3 linked regions of the Rhinolophus ferrumequinum genome follow. The protein of the gene in region 3 interacts with the protein of the main gene of each other region in a biochemical or structural test. Links are inferred from orthologs where the notes say so. Each region holds a gene or a part of one and is shown on either strand. Other genes may lie near its edges.

Region 1 (7,390 bases), on a different chromosome or scaffold from region 3:
GCTCGAGAGCCAATAGGAACGTGGGGAGCTGGTACAGTCGGGCCTAGCCACACACGGGACTCTCAGCACCCTGAGGCAAACGTAGGGTGCTGTATCTGAGCACTGCCAGGGAAGGGCATCCATGGTGCATTCGGTACAAAAGCAAGTGGTTGGGGGCTTGCGGGGAGTATGATCTCTTTTAAGAACAGAACAATCCTAGATACACAGGTTGGCACACAGAATAATGCCCCCCACACCCAAAGATGTTCGCACCCTCATCCCCAGAACCTGTGAACAGTACCTTCCCTGGCAATAGGGACTTAGCAGATGGGATAAGTTAGGGATCTCGAGATGGGGCAGTAGTCCTGGTTATCTGAGTGGGACCGTGGTTATCAGAGGGAGGCAGGAGGGCCAGCGTCTGACATGGGAGGACGGAAGCAGAGGTAGGCGTGATGCCAGAGTGGAAGGCGCCATGTGCCTAGGAACCCTGGAAACCTCTAGAAGCTGGAAATGGCAAGGGCATGGATTCTCCCCAGAACCTCCAGAAGGAGCACAGCTCTGTACACACCCAGGTTTTAGCCCAGTGACACTTCTGACTCCCACACTGTACGATAATCAATCTCTGTTGTTGAAGTCACTAAGTTTGGGATAATTTGTTACAGCAACAGTACTAAGAAACTAAGATGGATGGATAGATAGATGATATGATAGGTAGATAATAGATGATAATAAATAATAGATAGATGATAGATGGATAATAGATGATAGATGGATAGACAGATGAGGGGTGTAGGGTACATGGAAAGTTTCTCTTATACTTTGCTTGTATCGATATTGTTTTGATTTATGTTAATAATTAATATGCATCATTATTCTAAATAATAAATCCTTACAATAAAAATCTGGGTAATCTTTCCCGAATGTTTGAATTGTAGGTAACTTAGACAAGGTGTGCAAGAGAAGAGAAAATGAGTAAATGCAGTCCTGGTGGCAGGAATTCTTCCCTTCCTCTCCTGCAAGTTACAAAACACCTTCTGAAACAATTTACAATTTTTAGCCAGAATCTTCACATAAATTGAAGTCTTACTGCTTCCCAAACAAAAGCTTAAAAATATACTGCATATGTTGCATTAGATGGATTTGGAGCAAAGAAATAGAAGAAAGGAAGCATGCTTTCTAATTGAGGAGGATGAGGCATGCAGGGCTCTTTCAGACACCAGAAAAACCTCACCTGTAAGGGGTATTCGAGATTATTATTATTATTATTTTAGGCTGTATCTGAAAATTCTATTTTGAGATAGTTACAGAATCACAGGGAGTTGCAAAAATAGTACAGAGATGTCCTGTATGCGCCCCCCAGATGCCCCATTGCTGCGTCTGACATAATGACAGCACAGCAGCCAACCGGAGCCATGGCACTGGCAGTGTGTGTTCACAGCGCTGTGTCATTTGGTCACGTGGAGTTCATGTAACCGCCACCAAGACCAAGATGTGGAACTGACCTCCCTCCTCCTGCCGTCTGAGTCATCCCACCTGCCCTCCTCCCCGTCACAACTACAAAGCCAGTCTGTCTCTGTGATTCTGTCATTTTGCCATATACGTGGAATTACCCAGTATGTGACCATTTGGGTGTGACTTTTTCTCTCAGCCTCATGAGAGCACCCAAGTCGCTGTGTGTGCCAATAGTTTGTTCTTTGATTACTGCTTAGTAATATCCAAGCTGGGGTCGCAGCAGGTGGCTTGACCATCACTCTTTTGGTTGTTTCCAGATCTGGACAATACAAATAAAGCTAATGTGAACATTTATGTATAAATGACATGTGAACATACGTTTTTATTACCCTGGGATCAATGTACAGGAGTGTAATTGCTGGGTGGTAAGGTAAGTGTATGTTTCATCTTTTAAAAAAGAAACTGCTAAACTCTTTTCCAGTGTGGCTGTCACATTTTACACAGGGGAGGTCAGGTTTCTCTGCCTCCTTGCCAGTGTTTGGGGCTGTCCCTATTTTTCATTTTAGGTGTTCAAATAGGTGTGTCGTAGAAGTTATGGTTTTCAACCTACCTCTTTCCACTGCTTTGTGTTAGTAATCGATTGAATTCACATATATTTGAGGGCCTGTCGTACGCACTGCAGTAGGTACGAGAGGGAGCTGCTCAGCTTCTTCACGCCTACGGAGTCTGTAGGCTGGAAGAAGACACGTATTTGGTAAGGCACCCTGGAGTCACGTTTCACAGGCACTCAGTTCTGAGGCAAGCACATGTGGTTGGGAATCTTTTATTGTCAAAACTATCGTGGAAAATTGCTGTTGGTTTTTGTAGGGTGATAACTATGTCTTCAAAAACATCCCGCGTTTAAAGAAACATACTGAGATATTTACACATGAAATAATATCAATAATGGAGGACAGTGGTTAACAAGTGGCGTGTAAGTTACACAAGATTGGCCATGAGTTGATAATCATCACAACTAGCTGATGGGATTGATTATACTATTCTCTCTGCATTATTAGGCTTGAAATTTTCTATAAAAGGGTATTTTAAAAATCTTTGAAAATCCTTCAGTAGGTATCGGCATGTCGGAGACACTCTTTGGATAAGCCCGTTTTCCCTCTGGCATGGGGGCAGCTTACTCATTCTTCAGTGGAGTGAGTACCAAGTGAAGTGGTCCCTCACACGATAGGGCCACCAAATAAAAGCACCAGAGTTAGCACAGGGGTGCTTACACCACAGCAAGAGGGACACGTGAGACCAAATGAGGGGACAGCAGTGCTGGGATTTGTAGAGGCCCAGTAAATATAGCACCACCGCCCTCCCTACGTTCTTAGCCCATGAGAATACTTGAACAATCCCCAGCAGATGGAGACAACACACCTTAATTACCAGCAAAGCTGACAATGGAGAACTAACTGGGCTTGGTGTTCCAGTCAGTGGGGCTTGCCCGCTCCTCACTCCTGGGCTAGACCTCAAAGAGTTTATCTGAGGCAAAACCTCAGACCTCAGAGCAGTTCACTGACTAAGAGCACATACTGGATATCACCAATATTTTTAATCTTTGCCCATTTGACAGCTTAAGAAAAATGTGATGTTGTATTTACAAAATCTGTAATATTTCAAAATTGGTAAAATTTGGAGATTTTTTAATGACTCAAGCATCTTGATATATCAGAGTAGACGTCTGTATTGATGGGAAACAGCACACTGATCCAGTGGCTTTCAAAAGTTTTTGCTCCCGACTTACAATAAAAAATATATTCGTATTCTATAGGGTGACCTAGTTATTGAACTATATATATATATAGTGTATGTGTGGGGCGGTGGAGGCAGGATTTTCCTGAGATTGTGTATGTTTCGTCTTTTTTTTTTAAATTTATTGGGGTGACAATTGTTAGTAAAGTTACATAGATTTCAGGTGTACAATTCTGTATTACATCATCCATAAATCACATTAGTGTTCACCACCCAGCGTCAGCTCTCCTTCCATCACCATATATTTGATCCCCCTTATCCTCATCTCCCACCCCCCAACCCCCTTATGTTTCATCTTTTAAAGAAGAAACTGCCAAACTTCCCCAGCGTGACTGTCACATTTTACATATGGGAGGTCAGGTTTCTCTGCCTCCTTGCCAGCATTTGGGGCTGTCACTATTTTTGATTTTAGGTGATGGAATAGGTGTGTCTTAGAAGCTACAACAGTGGTTTGCAAGCAGCATTAAAAAAAAAAAAGAGTAAAAAAAAAAGCAGTGCATCCGACACAGTGATAAGTATTACTTTGTAAAATTTGGTTTTTAGTCCTATGTCTATAATACATATGTATGTGTATATGATATATTTATGTACACATGTGCACGTGACGTGTATATGTGTGTACATAACATACATTTCTGTGTACGTGTATGCATGTGTATGATACATGTGCGTGCGAAGTACACACGAGAACCAGGTTACCACGTGAAATGTATGCACTCCCTGCAGGAACTAAGGATGTAATAAAACCTATCCTTCTCTTCCCAGATCAGTCGCTGGGCATCATACTGAAGGCTACGAGCCCGCTTCCCAGACATACACACACCCGACATCCGAGTCCAATTCCGGGTCGCGGGCACGCACGACCCTCGGCCCCGCCCACACGGCCCCGCCCCCGGCCCCACCTACGCGCCCTGGCCGCAGACCCAGGTCACCGCGGCACGTTCCCACGCTCCGACGCGCCATCAAGGGCGGGCGCCGGGAGGAGTGCCGTGGCGTCGATGGCGGGCTCGCGCACGCTGGCAGGGCGCCGGGAGGAGCGCCGCGGCGTCGATGGCGGGCGCGCGCCCGCTGGCAGGGCGCCGGGAGGAGCGCCGCGGCGTCGATGGCGGGCACGCGCACGGCGGCGGGGCCGCGCACGGCGACGGCGGCCGGCGGCCATCTTCCCTCCCGGCGGCTGCTGCTGGTGCAAGTGCGGGGTCCGCTTCCCTGCGGCGCCCTCAGCCCCGACCGGAGCGGTGGGGAGGCGTGGATGACGGGGGAGGCGAGGAGGAGCCGCCCTCCAGTGTCGCCGCCCCCCCACCCGAGGGCAGGCCCGGGCGGGCAGAGTCCCCAGGGTGGCCTCGGGGTCGCTTCCAGGAGCGGCCTCGTTTTCCCCGCCGGAGGCCCCCCCGCAGGAGACCCCTCCCCCGGGACCCCACCCCCGGAGCCCCTCCCCGCCCGGCCCGCTGCTCTCAGGATCCGGGGCTCCTCCCAGATGGGATAAGCTGCAAAGATGTTTAGTTTTGAAGGGGATTTCAAAACGAGGCCCAAGGTGTCTCTGGGAGGCGCGAGTAGGAAGGTAAGAGCGGCCTGCGAGTGTCCGCGGCGTCTGGGCCCCCGGCGGGCGGGCGGGCGGGCGGGCGGGGGCCGGGGGCGGCCGCGGGCTCCGGCTCCGCCCTCGAGACCGCGCCGGCCCCTGCCGTGTCACCGGCCCCGGGGTTTGGAGCAGGTGTGGAGGGCAGGCTGACGGGGGCAGGGCTTCGCAGAGCGCGAGCGCCCGCCCGCCCCGCTCCCGGCGTCTCCGCTCCTGCGAGGGGGCGCGGGGGGGACGGACGGCCTTTCGGCTCGGGCCGTGAGGAAACGGCGGCGCGGCCGCGGTGCGTCTTCTCCGGAGGGACTTCAGACCCTTCGTCACGCCTGCCCTAGGGGAGTACCGCACGGTGTTGTCTGTTGTCGGAAGTGAACAGGTGTGTGTGTGCGCGGCGGCAGTCTGGGAAATTGAGGCAGAACCGCGGAGGGGCCGCGTGGGTGAATACGAGGCTGTGAAACTTACTCTTTGCCGGCCTTCTGGAGACACATTTCTGGAGGGAAATACGTGTGTGTCTTTTACGATTCGTCATGTAATTATTGTCATCGTAATTGTTTAGGGTAAGGGCGGACCAACTGTGGTTACTCTGCCCATGGGAGCGCACAGCGAGGCGGTGGCAGGTGCCCACCCCAGGATCCACGTCCCTTCGCGTGTGTGGCGCCTGTGCCTTCCGCTGCAGACTGGAGTGCCCGGGCCTGCCCTGCGGGGGACCGAACCTGGTTTCCACCGAGCAGCCCGTCTCTTTTCCGGGGACAGGACTTGTCATTTGACCTGACTCTCAAGGGGAGAGCGCGCATCTTGCTTTTGAGCTGTGCAAAACAATTTTTTCCCCTTTTTCCCTCCTTTTTATTGACATACAGACTTACCGTACATCACCAACCTTAAGTGCACATGCTTCCTTAGGCTTTGTCCCCTAGAAGGGCCTGAGGACACCTTGTGTGGGTGCCGCTGAGGAGGGGAGGAGGGGGGCGGGGGCCCATCCCAGTGAGAACCCTGCACAGCGGCTGGCACCCCAGTTGTCCCTGTGGAGGGAAGGGGCTGGCGTTTCGCATCCCCCCGTAGTAGTCATCGGCTGCAGGCTGCCCGCGGCGAGGGTGGGGGTGTGACGCGCTGGCCCCTCCGCCGGGCCCGGTGTCCTGAGAAGACTCTGGGCTGCTCTCCAGGGAGGTTCAGCTTCAAGGAGTTGTCCACGTGACCGCCGGGCATTCCCAGCGTTCCTCAGGCCGGTCCTGCGCCCTCCCCATGCACGACTACCGTCCCACCTGTTACCGTCCCACGTTGGTTTTGCCTGTTGAACGTCCGTGCGTGGGGTCACATGCAGTTTGTCTCTTTCTGTCCATCTGGCCTCTGGCTCAGCATTCTGTCTGAGGTGGAACCCACCGTCTTGTTCTGTGTTGTGTGAACACACCAGTGATCATTCTGTTTTATGGGCAGTTGTGTGTGTGTGTTGGCGGCGTGTACGCTCATGCTGGTCGTGTGTGACACGTGGGCGCCAGTGCACACTGCCGGCCTCCCTGCGTGGGGTGCCTGCAGAGGCAGAGGGTTTCAGTGGCTTCACTTCCTTGTCAACACTTAGTACTGTCACCCCTCGTCATTCGGGCAGTTTTGGCGGGGATGTCGTGTCACTGTAGTTTTCATTTTGCTTCCTGACAACTGCGATGTTGAACAACTACATACACGTATCTTCCTAATTCTCGTATCTTCCTAATTCTCGTTGGCTGCAGCTTAGGCCTTTCCCTCATTTAAAAAACAAAAAGATATAACGATCTTTTCTATGATTTAGATTATTTGAATCTTTTCTTTCTTGAGCCTAGTGGAAAACTGAATAGTGCCACCTTTTGAATAAATATGTCTTTTTTCTCAAAGTAAGTTAGTATTTTTAGTGTTTATTTCTCAAAGCTCTGTGTAGGGTTTGAAACCGAAGGAAAAGTCCGCGTCCTCAGTATGATCTTGTTAGGGAGATGTGACTTAAACAAGTCAGTTAAATAACGAGAGAGTAATTACTACATCTGGATTTCCTTGGGCTGACCCAGGAAACGCTGGAGTTGGTTGGGGCTTAGTCTTGAAGGACCCGCAGAATTTGGGGAGGTGAGAAACAGGAAGGGTATCCCAGCGCATGGAACAGTGTGCATGGAATAACGTACTGGATCCCATGATGCTGAGTCACAGGTTCCCGCTTTTTAATATTTCTGAAGTCAGGATGCACCATGGTGGCATGACATAGTTTATTGGCAGTATTTTTCCATTTCTTGGTAGTACATAGAAGGATATCTTAGAGGTCATTTGATTACAGGTACAGGAATCCACTGAAACTGGCTTAGTAGGCAAAAACAAAAAACAAAAAACAAGTGTATGGGGAGGATAAGATGGTATCTCCCAGAATGGAAGGACAGGAACATCCGGACAGCAAGTCATCAGCACCATGGTGGTTACTGGCTTTCTTCCTGGCCTGTACCACCTCCTTCATTCTTGGCGCTCCGCAGACGGCTTTCTCCTTTCACCTGCGCAGGACCTTGGCCCGGGTGGTTTCCTAGTGCAGGTGCCCCGCTGAGGCGGCTGGATCTCAGGCCCAGTTCTCAGGAGGAGACTCTGGCCTGG
Region 2 (6,912 bases), on a different chromosome or scaffold from region 3:
CCAGTAATTACATTACATACAAACGGTCTATTTTATTTGTCAAAGCCAAAAACTGGAAACAACCAAAATGTCCAATAGTTGAATGGTGAGACAAATTGTGGTAAACCCACACCAGCGAAACTTCCTCAACCATAAAGGGAAATGGACTATAGATATACGCAATAGGTTGAATAGATCTCAAGTGCCTTAGCTGAGTGAAAAAGGCCAATACTATATGATCTTATTTACATAACATTCTGGAAATGGCAAAATCATTTTCTAGAGATAGAAAACAGATTAGTGACCAAGGCTTAGGAATGGTGAGAGGAATGGGACGGGTGTAATTATAACGTGGTAGCACAAAGGATATCTTTGTGGTGAGGGAAGAGTTCTGTATCTTGATTGTAGTAGTGGTTTTATGAATGTACGTGTGATAAAATGACATAAAACTGTACGCACACACATTGTACCAAGTCAATGTCCTGGATTTGATATTGTATTATAGTTACGTAAGACGTCATCATAAGACAAAACTGAGTGAAACACATGATCTCGCTTTTTGCAACCTAATGTAAATCTACAATTACTTTAAAATATCACATATAAACTATATATACATATGTGTATGTATCCAAAGCATAGAAAATATTTGCAAAAATAGGCATACAAATTAACAGTGGTAATGATATATCTGTATTATTTGAAATTTTTAAAAAACGAATGTCTTCATGAATTTCTTATATAAAAAGAATGTAAAATTATTGTAAAAAATTCAAGTACAGAAAAATATAAACAAGATGAAAGTCACCTGCCTTATGATGCCATCAAGATAATTTCATTAATTCATTTAACAAATACTTACTGAGTGCATCATATGGTGCTATGAACTGTTAACATTTTGTACATTTCAGAATTTTCCTGTGTATCCAGTTATATACAAATAATAATCATTCACTGATATTTATTATAAGCAAAATATGTATTATTATACAATATGTTCTCACTACTTGACCTTCTATTCATTCATTATTCATCTATTCACCAAATATTTATTGAGTACCTGCTTCAGCCAACATCATGTGAGACTCTGAGACTATAATGGTAAATAAGCCAGACATGGTCTGTTTCCTCACAGAGCTTACAGTATAGTGAAAGACTGTCACTACACAAATTTTCTGAAAGGAATACACAATTACAGATACTGTCAAGTTTGGACAATATAAACAATACTTTAAAACACCCAACTGTGCAAGGAAAGGATAGCAAGATATCATGTCATGTTTATGATGAAAATGAGCCAGTAGAGAGAGATGTTAAACATACAAGAGGAAAAGAAAGGGATACTGGATTTACAGAAAACTTCCTGAGAAGAAAGGAGCCAGAGTACAAATATAAGGGTTGGCTTCCGGTGGAAGGAAAACTGCTACATTGAAATAGAAGCAAAAGAAGCTAGGACAAGTACAGAGGTGACTTAGTTTGTAGATTTACAGTCAAAAATTGAGGCAATTCCTCTTTGAGACCTTCTATTTTCTTAGCAAAATATAAGGCAATGTCATCTTCCAAAAGCAAGGATGTAAACTGGAAGATCTGAGGTATGAAGAGAGTTGAGTTTTTAAAGTAGTCATTTGGGAAAGGAAATTGAATAGAAAAAGGTAGTAAACTTGCCAGGCTGAATTAAGGGCTTGTAGAGTCTGTCCTATGGGGCAGAATGTAACCATTTTCAGCTCACTGACTGCAATCAGGAAAAAGGCAAGGTAATACATAGGTATTAGAACAGAGAAACAAAGTACTACAGTGAATTTAAAAAAAAAAAAAAGAGGGTTGTTTCTCAACTGGAAGGAGGAAGAAAATGGTCTGAGAGAGAAAAGGGAAGGAAGAAAATAGGTCAGGGGAAGATGGAGATAAAAGCAGGGAGGTGGTGGATTTCTGGCCAGGGTACAGGAATGTCCTTTTGTCTTCCATGGCCACAGTGATAATTTATCATCTGATTTTGTGAAACTGGTTCCATATTTCTTTTAGTCTTTTAGACCTGTCAATCCATGGAAACCCTCCGGGGGAGTTCCCAGGAATCTTAGTTACTGCAGAGAAGTATGAGTGAGGCACAAGGATATCATCCATGCATTAGAACAGAGGCTCTAGTGAGCAACAGGAGGCAGAAGTTTAGTTTTTCTCTTCTTATTGGTAGTTGTGTGCTGTTGTGAGCCCTTAGGTCCGTTCTGTACTCATTCCTAGTTACCAAAGGTCCAGTTCCTTTACTCAAATGATATCTTTCAATCTACTCCAAGTGTTTTCTTACCATTATTTTTGATTTCATGAATGTTTAGCTAAATAGAAATGGACTTGGAGGAACTAAGATTGGGCCAAAGATAACTTAGAACCATCTGTTAAATGGATCATTTGTCCAAAACACTCTACCATTATTACTCTTGGAGAAATACTACTTACTAGTCAACACTTGGCGATTATTAAATTATCTACACTCTAGTAATACCAAACTTATCAGTCCCTTTATACAATGGCTATTCCATTATTAAAGAGAAGAACTTCCATATGAGTCCTGTTGCTTAGCATTAGTGAAGCTCAAAAGTTTTAGGTGACCTTGATGATTAACAAAAACAAGCTTCTCTCAATCACAATAGCAAGAAAATATAAAGTGGCCAAGCAGCTGGTTAGCACATGAACAAGGCAAGGAAGAGACTGGATTGAAAGAAAATTGTAACTCATTCTAGAGTCCAGTTCCTTTTCTTTTGAACATTAGTTTGGCTGGATTGCTAATGCATGATTTTTCTACAAGTTATTTTAATTTAGGGTTTTCCCTTCCTCTTTTTTTTTGAACAAAAGGGCAGCTTTCCTTTTGAAAACACACTTCGTTTTTTAAAATTACCAAAAGAGAGAGGGAAGTAAAATAGTGTGTGTCTTAACTAAAACATTGTTAAGAAACAAAACTTGGCTCTTTGCTTCCCTTCCATCACAGCCAAAAGGGAAACACATTACACTGCTGTCAAGAAGAAGTGAAAATACAGGTAATTCAAGGACTGGTACATAGTTGGAGGTCAATGTTATTTTCGCATTTCCCTCTTCCTTTTTAAAACGTAGGATTTGTTTGACACCATATACAACAATCTAGTGGACAATGATTTTTTTTCTTTCTTTTCTGGCTAACAGCCAGGGGTGCACGTCGGTAGTTCGCTCTATGAACCTGATAGGGGCCGCTCTGAATTTCCATTAAAGTCTGGAATTCTTTCGACAGGGTTTGTAATTGGCTTTCCTCGCATTCAGAGGGAAGATGGAACGAAGGTGGGGATGGGCGCGTGGCAATACAACTTGATACAATACTATAATCTCCAGGGCAGCTCTTATATTGAGATTTGTTTCTTTGGTTCTCTGAGTTGCTGAGGCTTGCACCTTCCCTTTCCTGACAATCCTCGGTTTCCCTTACGGACTGGGTAAATGGGTAGAATTCTAATCATTAGCTTCTGAAACTAGCAGTGTTGGTGGCCCCTGGTGCCAGAGAAGGGTCTCAAGTCTCCAGTCTTCAAAGGCTACCTTTCAGGTCTCATTCGGAACCTGGACAAAGCCAACGAGTCCCAGTCCCGAGTTCCACGAAGATCTCAGCACACCCTACCCACCTCCGACTGGACGAAACGATACCGGTGACAAATCCCCGAAGCACCTTCGCAGCTCGGAGCCCACAAGCGGGCGCATGCGCAGAACGGAGCGAGCCGACAGCCATCCAGGGATCGTAGGCGTCTGCACAGTGGTCACAGTCTCGGAAAGGCCTGGCTCCCCTGTCGCCGTGAGCGGACCCCTGGCAGCAGCTCTCTAGGATTACTACCCGAAGAGAAACAACGGAAGCAACTGTTCACCATCCAGCGCGTTTCCGCTTCAAACCCTGACTTCCGGTTCGTCAGCCGGTTCCGTCCTTGCTTTTCACTTCCGGTCGCCTTCCGTTCCGCTGCAGCCGGTTCTACGTCCGCTGCTGCCGGGGCCGCCGTACTCCAGGTGAGGGGACTCGGGGCACCCCGGCGTGCCGCCCGCGAGACACCGATGGCCCGGAGGACAGCAGTGTTGCTGTGCTCGGGACCTTCGCTGCCGCCGGCCGTGGCGGGCTGGGGGCTGCTGGTGGGCGCCGCGGGCCGCGTCTGCCCTAGTCGGCCGCCCAGGCCTCCGGCCCTGACTCGCTGGCTGCACGGGCCGCCGCCCTCGCATCCGGCCTTCTCGCGTAGATCGAGGGCTTCCCGCACCCCAGTAGGCGCAGCGTCCCCAAACTTCATTCCTCCCTCTTCCAGGGTTTGAGCATCTCTCCCCCTCACTCTCGCTTATTGAAGACACCCGGGCCCTCGTGGGTTTTGGGGTCTGTCCCTGCTTTCTCGGCTATTCCATGCCCGTCACTTCGCACAGCTCTTGCCTCTGCACTATCACTCAGTTGCTGCTGCTCTGCTGTCCTGAGTCGGCGTTGCCAGTAATGCTGCTTCACACACCTTTCACTAGGCTTGTTGAAAAGTTAGCCCCCTGCCCTCAATTCCCAACTTGTGCACGTTTGCTGCTATGACTTTCATATTTCCGCCTGTGCTACTGTTCAGGTGTTAGGCAGGTTGGTTTACTTCTTTTTGAGTTTTCTGATCTGTTTAATAATATTAAAACTATCACAATTTGACTCAAAAGGTCCATTTGGCTTTTTCTTGAGGATCGTACATTTGTAAGAGCAAGTTCTCTAAAATGGAATGCATTGCCCTAAAGTAACACTTTATTTAAATTTTTGTTAGGTTGGTGCCAAAGTAATTGCGGTTTAAAAGGTTAAAAATTGCAAAAACTGTGATTACCTTGGCACCAACCCAATAGCAGAACAGGTTGTAAACATAAGAGAGTAAATATAAGTGAGTTTATGGTGCTCTCCTAACAGACATGTTGAAGACACCTTACATTTCCAAATGATTTTTGCATGTGAAGATTCAGAAGTAGCCTTCTTTCTTGCAGTTGGTTGTAATGAGTGCAATTAAAGATTTCAATAAATAAGTGACAGCATTTGGAAATACCAGTACTTTGAGATTAGAAAATCCACTTCTCTGGCCTGTGGGGGTAACAAACTAACGAAAACTGGTAGAAAGCTTTGTGGGGGAAAAGACCTACATGCTGTTGTCGATAAGAATAGCAGCTGCTATATCATTGTTGTGCGCTAATATCTGTGCCTGTGAGTTTTGTATTTATTGATTTTTTTTATTTTTTAGTTTTATTTTTTTGTTTTAAGGAAGGCGCAGCTCACAGCGGCCCATGCGGGGATCAAACCGACAACCTTGGTGCTACCAGCACCACTGCTCTAACCAACTGAGCTAACTGGGGACACCCCCCCTTTTCTTTTTAACTTTGATGCGTTAACTCCTGTAGGTCCAATTCAAGAGAGACAGTTGTATAGGGAAAAATCATGAGAGTTAGTCAGAAGACCTGTTCAGTTACCAGCTGTGAGCCCATGAACACATTACATAACCTCTCTGAACTCCCATTTCCTTAATTATAAAATAGGATAATTTTTATCAAACCTTTTAAATGAGATTATCTATGTAAAAACTCCCAATTTATTAAATAGGAAACAAATAATGGCCATTTTACTGTTTAGCACAGTGCCTGGAACACTTCCAGTTTTTTAAAAATTGTATTTAACCAATACTTATAATGCTTACTGTGTGCCACATACCGTGTGACTTCTAAATATTAACTAATTTCATCTTCATAAGAACCCTGAGGTGTAGTTAGTATTATCATCCCTATTTTGCAGATGAGAAAGCCTAGGCACTAGAGAGTCAAGTTACTTCCCAAAGTCAAATAGTTGCTAAATGGGAGAGTTGGGATCTGAATCCAAATAATCTGGCTCTAGAGTTTGTGCTCTTAACAACTCACCACACTACCTCTCAAGTGTCAAATGAACAGTGGTTCATCATGGAGAAACTTTGCCTGTAGCATAAACCTGATCAAAAGAGAAGAAGGGTTAGGTAGCTCATTATTGCGGCTTTCCAATTGCACAGAGAAAATCTGATAGATTATTAGAAAGTAGTAACTCTAAGCCAAAAACTGGGAGGGTGGAGGAATTTTAACTTGAGTCCTAATAACTTTGGGCATTCTGGTAACATCACTGTAAGAAAATCCTGTTTCTCTACTATCAAATTGTAAAATAGAACTCAAACTGTACAGCTTATGAAACTTGTTACAGGTTTGGATACATCTTTGATATATTTCTTTTAACTTGTTTATTGGTATATGCCTTCCTTCTAGGTATTTTTTTCTGAACAAAAGCTGCCTCAACATATGTTTCAAGGATGGCTCTCCCTATTATCGTAAAATGGGGCGGACAGGAATATTCAGTGACCACACTTTCAGAGGATGATACTGTACTAGATCTCAAACAATTTCTCAAGACCCTTACAGGAGTGCTACCAGAACGACAGAAGTTACTTGGACTTAAAGTTAAAGGTAATTCTCTCCTCACTTCAAATTTTTTGCATTGATATGAATTTTTATATTAGCTGTTAACTATTCTCCTTAATAAGTCTTTCCCCGTGGAGATTTCTTTTGTAGGGATATTTGTAAAATTTTTTGATAATAAGTAAGAATCTTAAAGATTACTTGAAAATACCACCACAATTAAGATTACTTTTGATTCCTCCGATTGTTGGTGTTTGCTTGTTAAACACATTTAGCACAGGAGACCCAGGTAAAACACTTAAGTTTTGACAACTATCTTTTAGCACAGCATTTTCATTACAGCTTGGGCCTTGTTCACTTCCCAGATTTTCTTCTCTGTTTTGAAAGTAATGATGATTTAAAATGATGATAGCAGTTATAGGCAGTGTTCATACCTAGTCTAAAAGGGACTTTCATGGTGTCGATGTTTGTCATATTATTGAAGGGTGAGTTTTGAGTAGCATTCAGTGTACAGTT
Region 3 (7,914 bases):
AGCTTATCTCTTCCTTTGCTGACTTCTTCCCTACATACACATCCTTGCAGGAGGTGAAGATGTCTTCGACCAGCTCCATGTCATTGAGCATCAATGCCAACCTCAGAGCTTCAGGGAAGCGACTGAACTTTCGGAACACACCCAAGGCACAACGTAGCAGAGCAGAGTTCTCAGGCTCGGGCACGTAATTCACACAACTACGAAGGTAAAAATAATAAAGGAATCAGAAGTTCCAGACATTCATTTACCCCATTTAATTCACTTACCCAAAATAAATACTAAATGCCTGCTGTATACATACCAGGCACTATACTAGACGGTGGGACTACTAAGGAGACATGATGTCTCTGTCCTCAGCTTACAGACAATAAATTAGCTTACAGACAATAAATTAACTACAGTCTGACACTACCTTTGATGCAGGTGTTCTGGGAAAATAGAGGAGGCACAATTAAGAGAGAAGTGCTGGGAAGGGAGGCCTGCCACCATTCCCTACCGTGCTTACGCACCTGGTGAGATAGAGGCAGACCTTTGCATATGCGTTCTCATCAATGTCCTTCTCCAGCATATCCACCTGCTCGATTTCCATGAGCAGGTCGCAGGCCTCATGCTCCGCATTGTGGGCCATGTTGTAGGGGACAATCTCCTTCACAAGGGTCAGCAGTGGCTCCCGCTGTGTCTTCTCTGCATCATCCAGCTCCTGCCACTCCTTAGCCACTTCTCCTGCTAGATGCCTATGGATAGACAGGCCGAAACCATTAAGGGAGCACAGCTTCCCAGGAAGCACTTCCCTGTGGGTCAAGGAATTTAACGTCTGCGAAACTCAATCCACTGGTACTCCAAAACAGATAGTACCCCCAGGTCCTCCCAAGACTAAACTCAGAATTATGCCTCAGCACCCCTTTCAGATTCCCAAGGAAAGGTCTTACCTGACATACTCATGACCCCATGATGCTAATTCCTCTTGGGATCCCACTAGCCGATACTTGAGGCATTCACGCTCCCCACTCATGGTCATGGCCAAAACAGAGATGATATCAGCAGCAAACCGCTATAAAGAAACAAGTCTTTGAAGTCATATCCAAGGTAAGGGAGGGTGTTACATTATGTAATCAAGACCACTATCACTAGCCCCCAAATTAAGCACTAACTATACACCAGCTTCTATACTAGAAATTTACACACGTTATCTAAGCTAAGCCTCATGATAACTCTAAGGTTAGTGTTGCTACCTCCCTTTTAACCCAACATGGCTAAAGGGCGACAATAAGGGGAAAGTGGAGAAAGATGGATTGTTGATGTTATTCTAATCACAACAATAAACTATTAATTGAAAAGTTTTAAGCAGAAAACACTCACAATCTAGAAAGATTACTATGGCTGCTATATGAAAAACAAACTGTGTAGGAGGTCAAGAACAAAAGGAAAAAGGCCAGTTAGGAGGCTGCTTCACTAATTCAGGTGAAAACTGAAGATTTCCTGGATTAGCATTATTCCAACAGGCAAAGAAGTGATTGAACTGGGGACATATTTTAGAGATAAAACGAATGAATGTACATGGGATGTGAGGAAAGAAAAAAGTTAAGGTTACACTGAAATAAATAGATCATAATAATGAAATCCCAAGGTCCAACATACATGACAGAAACAGTACCTTCTGTTCACAAAAGAAAGCAATCCTCTTGTCTGCTCTTAAGTGAGTATTTTGACTGTGATAAGCTCTGTTCAGCCAGCTCAGATCTCAGGTCTGTCAGGCTTCCTGTAGGACTTCCCATGAGCCCCATGGTCTTGATGAAAAGGAATTCCTAAACTAGGCCTCCACCAACGCCGGAAATAGTTTTACCTTATTCTCTCCAGGGGCCATGTTCTCATAGATTTCCTTCAGCTTGCCATAGTGTGGACGCAGAAATTTGAGAGGCTTGGGCACTGACGTCATGGACGTTGTAGAAGAACGAATTTGCCTTCGCAGTTCCTCCAGGGCTGGTCGGTACAGGGATGTGTCCTTCTCCTGAAAAGGAGATGTAGGGGTCAGACAAAAAGTTATAATACATCCCTCATGTCATAATACACAGCTGTTTAACAACTCCCCTAGGAAGTCACTGTCTTATTCATCTGTGATTCTCCAACTACCTGCACACTGCCTGGCACAAAAACAAATGACCCCAGTGAAGAGTTCGAGAACTGCTTTTCCCAGGAGAGACAGCTACAAAATCTTTTAAATATCCTTTGTTACTTTCCTCTCTCACAACTTCGCCATAACACTGACCCTAAAATACAGTCCACCTTTCCCTATACCTCATATAGGACTTCTTGCCCCAAAATGGACTGAAACAAACAAGTGGGAAAGCTCCAAACACGCACCAGCTCCTGTTAACATATCATGACTCACCCCCAGTCGTTCCACGAGCATCTCCAGTTCATCCTGAAGTTGTTTGTCCTCTTCAGACTGGAGAGTTGGGGTAAGAGGCTCATCAAGAGAAGGAATCCCAAACACATCCTCCTCCCATTCACCCTGGGGCAGGTGGAGAGTGAGCCTGCCTCCTTAGGGACCAGGTGGACAAGGAGAGACAGCGGGAATGGGATGCCCTGGCGGGAAGGCAGCTTGGTTTCTGGACCAGGCTCTGCGTGAATGCCATTCTAAAAACTGGGGTGACAATGACCCGCCCGGGCCCACATCACCAGACGGTGGTGAGGGCTGGCGGGGGTGGCGGAGGTTACCGCGCGGAATGGAGGATGAGGGGCAGAGAGGCGGGGTGCCGGGAGCCCCGAGGGTCTCCCCATCCGCCCTCCCCCGAGCGCCGCGGGGCCGTTGGGAGTCGGGCCCGAGGCCTGCGGCACCTCCGTGACTCAGCCTGCGGCCTCCTCCGCCGGCCCCCGGGGCCACACCTCACCAGCTCCTGCTCTTTGTCTTTGTCCCCAGCATCCCGCCGGTCCTTGCCGCCCGGCTTCTCGTCTGCGCCGCCTGGGGCCGTCACTGGGGGCTGCTGGGGCTGCAGCGGTGCCTTGTCTCTGCCTCCCTCCTCCATCTCCACGGCCACTGCCGGCCAGCTGCGTGCGCACCACTCGCACCTCCCCGTTTCCCAGGTAGCATCGCGCGCGTCGCTCAAGGCTCCCTCCACCTCCAGAGCCCGCCTGCGACCGGAAACGTCGCCGAAACCTAAGCGCCCCAGCCCTCGGAAGCCAAATGAAAACTACAATTCCCAGCCTCCCGCGCGCCATAAGCACCGCCTCTGGACCTAGAGTTTCCTGAACTCCACGGGAGTCTGCAGTCTGGGATTCGTACGTGTTGGTGAGCTGGCTGCGAACCGAGAGACCATCCATAGGTATCTTCATAGCTGTGTGATTAGTACTCACAGTTGTTAGTACCCCAGTTGGATGCGTGGTGGGACAAACGGACGAGATTCTTGAAAGCCAGACGCTTGATTGCCGTCTATGTGAAGTTTGTGTAATCTAGGTGTAGCTCCATACCACAGTGGAATATTGACCTCATTACATTCCCTCCTACCCCCAGTTGAAGGAAAGTACTCCAGTATTACCGTGAAGATATGGCTACTACCTTAAATCCACCTGCGGAGCCAGGTGGAGTAAAAATTAATAAAGTCTTATGCTCCAATGCTAAGTTCCGGAGCTGAAAACAGAACAAGACAAGGTCTTTGTCCTGTCTGTTTTGGTATTCCTCTCCCTGTTATGAGGAATACCTCTCCCTGTTATGAGGAATACTCTGTGTCAGGACTGATTTTGAATATTACATTTTGTTCTCACAACCTTTTAAGTTTGGCAGGGTTTTGTCCATTTTACAGAGAAAATTATATGGTAAGGAGTAGAATCAGGAATTGAATACTGATCCTTCTGTCTTTCAAGCCCTTGACTGTTTCAGGCAAACCTCAAAATTTCTTCGGTTGGGCTAGGTATGAATCCAGAAGGTGAGAAAGGAGGGAGTAATTTTTCTCCCCTTCATCTGATGAGAACACTCATCATTTGGCCTGGCGTCTTATTTTATGGGTTCTCAGACATTAAAGAATGCAGAAAATTTGTTTAAAAAAAAACTAGTACAACATGATTAGCACTGAAAAAATGTTGGCTAAATATTTGTATACATATACCTGTAAAGGTCTGAAGCCCATTTTAAAACCTGTTGCTCATTTCCACTCACTGCTAGGATTCTGGGGATGACTTTGCCTTTGCAGAGCCAATGACTCCCCAGTCCTGCTCTGCTGACAGAAATTGGGCAGCCGATAGCCGTTCTGCCTCGTCTATCTCTGGATTCAAGATGTCCATACATTGTCATGCTTTCTTCAGTCATCTGTAAATGTATTTCTCCTAAATCTCTTGTTTTTCCATGACTTCTTTCTCTCAAGTCTCAGCTTTTGTCTTCTATATCAGTCATGTCCCAGCCAGCACCTTAGAGGAGATGGGGTGATGTGGCATAAAACACAGGCTGTCAACAGCTGGCGACTCCAGAGGAAGAATCTAGGAATATTTGTTGCACTATGTTTCAACTTTTTTGTAGGGTTGAAATGTCGAAAATAAAAAGTTGGAGTGAGTAGGAGAACATAAGCTTTAGAGAGAGACAGACCTGGTATTTAAAGTCAAATTCTGCCCTTCATTAGTTGTGATAATTAGTCAAGTTTTCTAACCTCTCTCAGCCTGGTTTCTGCCTCTGTGAAATGTGGGTAATAAAATATCTCCCTCATAAGTTGTTATGAGAATGAAATAAAACAGTGTATATAAAGCCGCTAGCTTTACCTTTATACCTGGCAACTAGAAAGCAGGGAGTTGTCATTTTCCAACTACCTCAGATCTGCAGGGCTGACTGAGGTAAACATTCTTGTTTCCTGCCCCCCACCTCCAAGCATTCAAGCCCCCAAGCCTCTCCAGCCAAATGCAAATGTCTGGCAGTAATTTTCAAGGCCCCACGATAACACTGATGTCCTGCCTCAAGCTTCGGTTCAGTCAAATTGCCTTCCCAGAAGCACTCCTTCCTACCATTTGGCCAAACTCCCAGCCCTGTGGCCAAATTGCTCTCCAATAAGGGACCAGCTCATCACCTGTTCCTTCCTACCACCTTCCTTCAAATTGCATCCACAAGCCTGCCATGCTGCCCCCAAACTCATGGCCTGAGAGGTAGAGCTACACATCTGATGGATGGCTCTGCTCATCTGAGAACCATTCAAGACAACACATCACTTATGTAACACCAGAAGTGATCCTGGCAGGACACAACTTCGCACTGTTTCCACTAGGTTGCTACTTTCTTCGTGTGATATTTTTCAGTCAGATTGCACTGTGGCCCTTCTTTCTATTAATTCCCAGGACAGCAGGGAATCCCCTCTTTTCGTACCTACTGTCACAACTTCCCTTCTCCGGATTCTCACCTCTCATTATGCCCCTTCTGGTCATCCTAAACATTTCACCATGTCTGAACACACCCTGCCCTTCAGGCTGATCAGCCTTTTCACACTACTTATTCCTTCTGTATGGAATGCCCTTCACTGTTTTCAGCTAACAAATTCTCCCATCCTCTGCACTCCAGCTCAATGTCACCTGTTTAGGAAGCTTTTCCTACTCCACCCTTCAAGCTATTAATTTCTTCCCTGTGCTCTCACCGTGCTTGATACATGTCTCCCTCCCTAGACTCTGAGCTCTTAGAGGACAGGAACTGTGTGCCCCTAGCACTCAGCCTAATGCCTGGCTTGTGGTAGGCCTTGACAAATACTTCTTGAATGAATGAATGAATGAATGAATGGCTTTGCATTCATCTTCAGGTCATCTTTATGTATAGTAATGGCCCATCAGGGGCTGTCTTTGGAGCCCAGAGCTGGGCATTGGGAAACCGTCCAGATTCTGCATTTGTGAGTCAGTATGGGCCCACTGAAACTGCTTATTTTATAGGGGACTCTCTTCCAGCCTGACATGTCCAGCGTGTTTCCAAGTGTGAAATCATATTGTTTGGCATTTGTTACCTAATTGTGCATGGGATTTAGTCAAACTTCCCAGTGGGATAGTGTAGGGCATGGCCCAGCACCTTACCAATAACGGCTCCCACGTGCCCATCCAGGAGCACCGCCTTTAATCCTCCTCCTGCCTTCACACCCCAGAGCATTTCACAGGTGCATATTCATCAGCTTGGCAGGGCTACCGAGGGTAAAGGTCTGTCACCTGATGTTCACCTTGCCTTGCTTCTGGAACCAAGGACCTGTAGAGTGCTCAACAAACAGGTGTTACCTGGCTGAATTTCAGCTCAACATGTGCCTGTTTCCTGCAGCTGCCTGGGTGTCACATGTGCCTGGGCCAGGGGAGCTGAGTAGCATGGAAATGTACCTGCTGGTGATGGTCTCACTTGGATGTATGAGGAAATCGCCCAGAAGACAGATGTCTCTGCTGGAGTCTAAAGTCTGTCATGACTTAGAAAACTAAATGCTGGTGATTAAGAGCATCTGAGTTCCAGATGTTACTTTAATGCAATCTGACATTGGAAGTTATGTAATCTTTGTCCTTAGTTTCTCTACTTGTAAAATAGAGACAATGATAGAACCTCCTTATAAGTTATTGTGGGAATTTAATGAGATGATGTTTCTAAAGAGCTTAGGACAGGCTTAAGCCAAATAGGGACTCAATAAATGAAAGTTGCTTTTTATAATGATTTTATTATCATTATTAGGCATTTTGACCTTTCTGCAAATATGGAGTTTCTATGTCCCAATGGCCCGCTGGTCAGCATCCTAAGTTTGTCTCTGAAATCAGATGTCAAGGGAAAGGCAAGACTTTATGCTGCCAAGCTATTCTCTTCCCTCATTATGCTGTCTGACATTATAAATCTCATCTTCTGTGCAACACCCAAACTTCACAAGTCATTTCTCAATATTTCTTTGGATTCCAGAATTTGATAAGTCCATGAATTCCTTCTTTTTTTTTTTTTATATTTTTTTAAAGATTTTATTGGGGTAGGGGAACAGGACTTTATTGGGGAACAGTGTGTACTTCCAGGCCTGTTTTCCAAGTCAAGTTGTTGTCCTTTCAATCTTAGTTGTGGAGGGTGCCGGGAGCTCAGCGGCAGCTCAGCTCAAGGTGCCCTGTTCAATCTTAGTTGCAAGGGGCGGAGCCCACCATCCCTTGAGGGAGTCGAGGAATCGAACTGGCAACCTTGTGGTTGAGAGCCCACTGGCCCATGTGGGAATCGAACCGGCAGCCTTCGGAGTTAGGAGCATGGAGCTCTAACCACCTGAGCCACCGGGCCGGCCCCATGAATTCCTTCTTAAAACATTAAAGCTGAACTGGTCCTCAGACATCACCTCACCCAACCCACGTATTTTAAAGACTGCTAAGGATACTGAGCCCTGAAGAGGGGGTGAGACATGCGTACTGTCACGTATTTAGGGGGTGGTAGACTTGGAGCCAGAAGCAGGTTTCCAGATGTGATGGTCCCCCTTTCCAACGCATTTTGCTGTCCCTTCTAGAGTCAATGTTCGCAGAGGCTCACGCCGTGCCTTCCCTTGGTCTTAGAGTTCCCAAGGCCACTTTGGTCCTTTCTGAGTAGCCAGCTATTTCCTTCCATTGGTGAGCAGCCAGCACTTTCAAATAACTTGACAGAGGCCCAAGTATAGCACTTTATGGGGCAAGTCTGGTGCTGGGACAGGATACCAACGATGGGAACATACTTGTGTCATCACCTGGGGACCAGGGACCCCAGCACCAATCAATGGCAAAGCCTCACACTTACCCTTCCAAATTCAACAAACCCACCCCCACCTCGGGGAACAGTGAGTTTTAAAGAGAATTGAGACTGGACTCTCTACTGTTTTGCTCTAGTTGTCGTTTTACAGGTAAAGAAACTGAGACTCATGGAGGTTAGGGAATGGGCTCAGGTTCATATAGCTATCAGGGCTTCGATTTCAATCCAAGTCTCTTTGACTT

The links.
Region 1: the proteins of PSMD2 (region 3) and UBE3C form a complex in vitro, tested with the Homo sapiens proteins (2 studies listed by BioGRID). The link is inferred for Rhinolophus ferrumequinum from reciprocal best matches to the Homo sapiens genes PSMD2 and UBE3C.
Region 2: the proteins of PSMD2 (region 3) and UBLCP1 form a complex in vitro, tested with the Homo sapiens proteins (3 studies listed by BioGRID). The link is inferred for Rhinolophus ferrumequinum from reciprocal best matches to the Homo sapiens genes PSMD2 and UBLCP1.

Annotation. Positions count from the first base shown.
Region 1 is NC_046309.1:878,596-885,985, reverse strand, and holds the start of UBE3C (ubiquitin-protein ligase E3C), read left to right. Parts: upstream 1-4,362; 5' UTR 4,363-4,717; coding exon 4,718-4,783; intron 4,784-5,152; exon of another isoform or gene 5,153-5,171; intron 5,172-7,390. UniProt on the Homo sapiens protein: E3 ubiquitin-protein ligase that specifically catalyzes 'Lys-29'- and 'Lys-48'-linked polyubiquitin chains.
Region 2 is NC_046307.1:28,968,121-28,975,032, forward strand, and holds the start of UBLCP1 (ubiquitin-like domain-containing CTD phosphatase 1), read left to right. Parts: upstream 1-3,848; 5' UTR 3,849-3,981; intron 3,982-6,246; 5' UTR 6,247-6,290; coding exon 6,291-6,444; intron 6,445-6,912. UniProt on the Homo sapiens protein: Dephosphorylates 26S nuclear proteasomes, thereby decreasing their proteolytic activity. Recruited to the 19S regulatory particle of the 26S proteasome through its interaction with 19S component PSMD2/RPN1.
Region 3 is NC_046285.1:60,849,479-60,857,392, forward strand, and holds the start of PSMD2 (26S proteasome non-ATPase regulatory subunit 2), read right to left. Parts: upstream 3,079-7,914; 5' UTR 3,027-3,078; coding exon 2,892-3,026; intron 2,447-2,891; coding exon 2,390-2,446; intron 2,009-2,389; coding exon 1,844-2,008; intron 1,052-1,843; coding exon 930-1,051; intron 735-929; coding exon 510-734; intron 198-509; coding exon 39-197; intron 1-38. UniProt on the Homo sapiens protein: Component of the 26S proteasome, a multiprotein complex involved in the ATP-dependent degradation of ubiquitinated proteins.